Linked DNA regions of Bombyx mori. The protein of the gene in region 2 interacts with the protein of the main gene of each other region in a pairwise test. Links are inferred from orthologs where the notes say so. Each region holds a gene or a part of one and is shown on either strand. Other genes may lie near its edges. The genes, in order: rho GTPase-activating protein conundrum and moesin/ezrin/radixin homolog 1.

The links.
Region 1: the proteins of moesin/ezrin/radixin homolog 1 (region 2) and rho GTPase-activating protein conundrum interact in binary tests that used the Drosophila melanogaster proteins (3 or more experiments, as listed by UniProt). The link is inferred for Bombyx mori from reciprocal best matches to the Drosophila melanogaster genes Moe and conu.

The regions. Positions count from the first base shown.
Region 1 is NC_085111.1:1,609,386-1,613,218, reverse strand, and holds part of rho GTPase-activating protein conundrum, read left to right. Parts: intron 1-588; coding exon 589-748; intron 749-1,118; coding exon 1,119-1,282; intron 1,283-2,611; coding exon 2,612-2,789; intron 2,790-3,833. UniProt on the Drosophila melanogaster protein: GTPase-activating protein (GAP) for Rho1; functions with the ERM protein Moe to regulate Rho1 and control proliferation in the developing epithelium. Recruited by Moe to the cell cortex where it negatively regulates Rho1 activity.
Region 2 is NC_085115.1:15,743,075-15,746,013, reverse strand, and holds part of moesin/ezrin/radixin homolog 1, read right to left. Parts: intron 2,653-2,939; coding exon 2,518-2,652; intron 1,725-2,517; coding exon 1,374-1,724; intron 950-1,373; coding exon 785-949; 3' UTR 1-784. UniProt on the Drosophila melanogaster protein: Involved in connections of major cytoskeletal structures to the plasma membrane. Together with wgn, involved in control of axon targeting of R8 and R2-R5 photoreceptors, independent of egr.

The DNA.
Region 1 (3,833 bases), on a different chromosome or scaffold from region 2:
TTCTTTAGAAATAAGTGGATAAATATTTAGTAATTTATTTATCTTGTTGTACAGAATAGAGCTTAAATACCTATAGTGAGACCTGACTACATTATAATTTGCTACATAGATTTTGCACACTCTGCCCTGACGACGAGTTTGCGAACAGATATTAGGGTCAAAAACGAGTTCCAAATGTTTACGTAACAATGTGCTCCTAATAAAAGATTGTCTAACTCGAGGCACTTTGCAGATATCATACAATTCCTCCGTTGGAAACCTTATTGGTTTTTTAGATATTACTTTAAGCACGGCTCTCTGTGCTCTTTCCAATCTAAGTAATAATCCTTTCTTACAGCCTCCCCAGACGACAATGCAATAGGTTATGACAGAGTGTGCCAAAGCATAATAAACCATTTTCAGTATGTCGAGATCGCTTGATGTTCTTAGCTTCCGAAAGACAAAGATAAGCTTTCGTACTTTTCCAACCAAATCATTTATATGCTCTTGCCAAGATAGGGTGCCGTCAATTTTTAGACCAAGATATTTTACAGCATTAGTTCGTGAAATTTTTTGACAAAGATCATTATATAGGGGTGTTGTTCCCAGGATTGGCCGGAGGCGGACAGTAACGTGGACATAGAGAGCATAAGCGAGCCTCAACTGAAGCGCTTGCAGCCGCTACTGTGGTTGGAGCTCACGGCGATATTCGACAAGTACTCGCTGCCCTTCCAGAAGAGGAAGCCACCCAAAAAGAAGCGGAAGGAAGGTACGAGAAACCTAGCAGGAAATAGGAAAGCTTTTTCTTAATAATTTCAACGATCCTCTATCAAGGACCTTATAGTCTTAATAATCTTATACTGGTGGTAGGACCTCTTGTGAGTTCGCACGGGTAGGTACCACCGCCCCGTCTATTTCTGCCGTGAATTGTGTTTCGGTTTGAAGGGTGGAGCAGCTGTTGTAACTATACTGAAACCTTAGAACTTATATCTCAAGGTGGGGGGTGCATTTATAGATGTTTATGGGCTCCGGTAACCAGTTAACACCAGGTGGGCTGTGAGCTCGTCCACCCATCAAAGCAATAAAAAAAATCCTACTTATCCTTCGTAGTATGTGTTATAAGGGCTGTTACATTGCAGAGGGCTCCGTGTTCGGCGTGTCCTTGGAGACGCTGGTCCGCAAGGACATGATCCTGTGGGAGGAGACGTGCAGCGCGCCGAGCGTGCTGTGCTGCGTCACGCGCGCGCTGCGGGCTCGCGCGCACCACGAGGGGCTGCTCAGGGTCTCCGGGAACAAACAGAAGGTAACAACATGCTCCTCCACCACACTAGTTCTAGTGAACGTAATTCTAGCGGTAGGCAGCGGCATGGCTCTGCCCCTGGCATTGCTGAAGTCCATGGGCGACGGTAACCACTCACCATCAGGTGGGCCGTATGCTCGTCTGCCTGAACTGTGAATAAAAAGTAAAAAAAAACCATCAGTTTGCTATCGAGAAAAAAAACTATTTAATTTCACCTCTTCTCAATCGATTTAATTATTTTTTTTCACTCATTCTTATGACGCTTGAAGGGAACAGCTGATTTCACTCAATTTTAACTTCACCGTAGCTCAGTTTTTATCGCACCGCCCAACTAAACCATTTCTCCCCAAACAATCTTACCTAACATCGCCTAAACACAGACTTCGGAGAATTTTGTTCGTGATTTATATCTGCTTTAAATGGACATTGCTTTATTAATATAGATTGACTGGTGGTAGGACCTCTTTTGAGTCCGCACGGGTAGGTACCACCATCTGCCTATTTCTGCCGTGAAGCAGTAATGCGTTTCGGTTTGAAGGGTGGGGCAGCCGTTGTAACGATACTGAGACCTTAGAACTTATATCTCGAGGTGTGTGGCGCATTTACGTTGCAGATGTCTATGGGTTCTAGTAACCACTTAACACCAGGTGAGCTGTGAGCTCGTCCACACATCTAGGCAATAAAAATAAAATAAAAAAATATTTAATAGTTAAGTATTGAAATGAACAAGTGGCTACACAACGTGCGATCTATGGGATTGACATCAGAGAGGCCACATGACTTTTCGTTAGCTTATGTTAATATGTTAGGCGGGGGACCCTCGAAATTCTGATACCAAAGTCTACCTTAATTGAATAAAAACATTAGTTTCCCTTCGTCTGATATAAAATGAAAATAACAATGAAATTGCCAGAACCATTCCAAATTTTAAATGATTTAGGTATGTTAGGCGGGAGACCCTGGAAATTCTGATCCGAAAATCTACCTGTATTGAATAACAAAGATTATAGTTTTTCCCTTTATAAATATAATACTAGCCGTATTCGCCCGCTTCGCTGGGCATTTAAAATTAACATTATTATTTCTCACCTCCACAAAGATACTCATCATTAACGCCCCCACAACTGGTGTAGGGAGTCCAACACTCATATAAATATTAGCCTATCCATTAAGTACATGTATTTTCTACATGGATACCATGTTTCAAGTCAATCGGATGCATGGTTCAGTAGTTATAACGGAACATCCGTAAAAACCACTGTAGATTTATATATTAGTATAGATAAATTAAAACCAATGAAATTGCCTGAACGATTCCAAAATTTGACTTAGGTATCAGAGCTGAGTCAGCTGATAGAGCGGCAGTGGTACGAGGACCGCGGCGCGGTGGAGGCGGCCGTCTCGCTCGCCAAGGGACACGACCTCGCCGCCGTCTACAAGCGGCTGCTGCGGGCGCTGCCCCAGCCCCTACTCACGCAGGAGCTCATGAGGCTCTTCTACCACACTTATGGTACGTATATTCAACACTGCTGTCTTTTTTGACGTGACAACGTCTTATAATTCGATGGAGCCGGCTGCACGCACGAAAAAACATGACTCATGCGGCGTTACCTCGCTCTGAGGCGTTCCATTAAGGCTTGAAGTGCAAGCGAGAACGCGCAACGAGCGACAAAGAGGCACAATCGGCCGCCGCGTTCGGCAGCGTTCGACATCTGTCTCTCTCCTACTTGAGTGAGCGATGCATCCGCGTGGACAGCTGCTATACAATAATACATTTACATGTTTTCGTCAAGTATCAGTTCAGTGAAAAGTGAATGTGGTGTCAATTGTTTATAGAAACGATAATTGCGATAATTGAAAAATGAAACCATTCCATCAGTATTTTCTTATGACGTTGTGCGTTCAACTATCGTCAGTAGTATTGATACCGTACCGAGAATTACCGAATTTAGACGATGTCAAGAAAAGGGATGTCCAATATGCGTGTTTGAGAATGTTGCTCAATCGATTTTTTTTTTCAAAATGATTAAAAAAAAAATAAAAAAAAAATGTGTGCGTGTACTAGTGTACACACGTAAGAAGTGAAACTTGTTTATGGCCTTATTTTTCGAAAAATGATCTACATGCAACTTTCTAGAAATTGGTTAAATAAAGTTAAATTAGATAAAGTTTAAACAAAAGGATTTTATTATCATAGACATGAATACAAAAAAGTTAAATTAGATAAAGTTTAAACAAAAGGATTTTATTATCATAGACATGAATACAAAACAGATGGCGCGTAACGGAAAAATGTGACGCGTAACCGAAAAATGTGACGGTAAATTTTTTTCCAACGCCGATAAGGAAGTTTCACTTCAAAAAAGAAAATTAATAAAAATAAAGTATAACTTCTTACGCGCGTACATAAGTACACGCACCCTTTTTTATTTTGTCTATTTAGAGTTTCTTCAGGTTCAAATGTGTAACAATGGTGATTTATTAACTGTTAGATATCTGTGAAAGTGCACAAATGTGGGAAAATAAAACAAAGTCGCTGGACGTAACTTTCCGG
Region 2 (2,939 bases):
CGTGACAACAACAATGTTGCCAGGACGGTGTATAAAAATATATAATAACTTTTATAATATACTACTCTTAATATACGTGTGCTCTGTGCTCGCACACCCACATTACTCCTACCCATTTACATGAAACACACGGATCTATGGGAATCATTTTTGTTTGGTACCGATCGTCATCAGTGTTATTAACAATGTCAGTAACACTGATGTCGGGATGCTAACTTTACGTACAGACTTTTAAGCCTAAACTAGTAATTCAATTGTATCTTTCTCTTTTTCTAATGGACATTCGTTAAATCTAGACTAGGCCTGGTGTGAAGTCCGTGCACACATTCCCCAATACTATATGTTACATACGAATACATGAGCTTACAAGCAGTACGGCCACCGGACTCTGCACGTCGACATGCTGGGAGCTAACGGAGCTGCTACGGGAAGAGTTTACTTTTGGTAAGATAATTTATTTTGAATACGTTGTGACACTTTACAGTGTTGCCAGTTTAAAGAATTACTGCTATGAACAGTAGTTTTTTTTAAAAAAGTACAAAATTTGTGTATTTTATATACGCTACATTATTTAATTTACACACCCGAGCTCGAAGATACGAACTGCTCTTAGTCACTGTTCCTATTAATTAATACTGAATGACAATTTGGAAAATACTAAAATATCGTTACAATTTACTATCGATTGTACAAAAATCGATATTCAGTTTATTTTGAGCGCGATTCTGTGATTTATGTGTCGTGTGCAGGTCAGCTCCCTACAGTCAGCGCCGGCGACGTTAAGTTACATGTTCTCGAACTGGTCGACGCGACGTTTGGTGTTGCCCTTGCGGATCTCGCGGAGCGTCTTGTACTTGTCTCGTCCCTGGCGGACGTTCTCGCGGTGGATCTTGTCCATGGCCGTCTCTTTAGTTTCGTCGCGGGACTGCGCGAGGTCTTGTTTCAGCGCCTGTTGAAAAGATACCGAGATATTATATAATATACTCCATAATTACAAAAAAAATAATTGATAAATTAATTTTATTGTTTTTTTAAAAGGCTCGTCGTGTGCTCACTGATCGAGAAAAATTTAATTTTAATCTTTTCACAAAATGCAATTTTCAAACACTCACGGTGTGGAGTCGAGCAATTGTTTGAGCGATATATTTTTGTTGTTTAATTCAGTTAAAGTTAACAAATATATAGCACAAATCCATCTACCCTACCATTTCAAAATAAGTTTATTCTAGACCTTATCCTTTAATATCTCTAAGTTTTAAAATAATACGAGTATAGTTTGTATGGCTAAACTCTGTCACACTTGCAGTGAGATGCTGTTGAATATAGGTTGGCAGCTCGTTGCCGCGGTGCAGCGTGAGAGCACTGTTAGTTACCTTGAGCTGGTTGTGTAGCCGCTCGTTCTTCTCGGCCAAGGTGGTCCTGGCCTCGACCGGGTCGACGAGGTCGTCGGGCGCCTGGTGCAGGTCTCCGCCGCCGGACTCCTCGCCGTGGTCGGAGCCGTCGTCCACCCCGCCGTCCTCAGCCACGTGGTGGTGCTGCGGGGTGGTGGCGGCCGCCAGGAGCGCCGCGGCCTCGTCCTGCTTGCGCCGGGCCTCCTCCACCTCGTCCTGCAGGCGCCGCGTCTCCGAGTCCTTGAGCTCGACTTCGGTTTGAATGCGTTGTACTTCCTCTTGTTTAGTGCGGATTTCCTCTTCTAACTTGGCACGTTCTGCTGCTTCCATATTCTATAACAAAATTATGTACATTATTATTATTTTTATTACTTAGGTGAGTGGACGAGCTCACAGCCCACATGGTGTTAAGTGGTTACTGGAGCCCATAGACATCTACAACGTAAATGCGCCACCCACCTTGAGATATAAATTCTAAGGTTTCAGTATAGTTACAACGGCTGCCCCACCCTTCAAACCGAAACGCAGTACTGCTTCACGGCAGAAATAGACAGGGTGGTGGTACCTACCCGTGCGGACTCACAAGAGGTCCTACCACCAGTAAATAAAAAGTACAAAAAAGTAAACAAGATATTATATTACAATATCAATACATATTGTCATTTTCATTCCCCAATTTTCTAAAGTTGACACAGAGAAGGGATGAACGAATTCATAGACAAATTTCAGTCATGTAATTTAATTGTATTTAAAACTAAGCGATCCTATAAACTACTCTTTGGAAGTCACAACACAAGTCATTTGTTTCTTGAACGAATATTGTTTGGAACCGAACAGGGCGAACGCTCATTATTAAAAATATGTTCTACTGGATTTCTCCTCGTTATAAATTTATAACATTTTACCTCACTTAATTATGTAAATGAATTACTTTATACAGTGAATAAGCTGGTTTTTTTTTCAGCGTGGGCAGGCGTCCCACTAGATGGGCCGACGATCTATTGAGGTTCGCGGGGATCCGCTGGATGCAAGCAGCGCAGGACCGGTCTTTGTGACGAGGCTTGGGGTAGGCCTATGTCCAGCAGTGGACGTCTGTGGGCTGTTTTTTATTAAACAAGTAAATTACCTTGGTCTCCTCGAGTCTCTGCATCATGTCGTGCAGCTCTCCCTGTCTCCGCTCCAGCTCCTCCTTGGCGGCCTGCAACTGCTTGAGCTGTTCCTCCAAGCGCCGGATCATGTCCTGGGCCTCGAGCAAGTTGGCCTGCATCATACAATAAACATTTGTCAATTGTGTCCTCGGCCGTAGCGATACTGCGTTTTGATTCTAAAGAAACTAAAGAGATTGGCGACTGTTTGAATTCGAAACGTCAAAAGTGTCAACGAGCGACGTCCACTATGACAAAAAATTTATCTAATATTTAAAAAAAAAAAGACATGGACGCTGAGTTTCTTGCCAATTCTTCTCAGGACGGAGGCTAGTTTTTGTGAATTGGCGGTAGTTCTTTTTGACGTTCAACAAGTATGTACTTTCATTTATGTTGAATAATT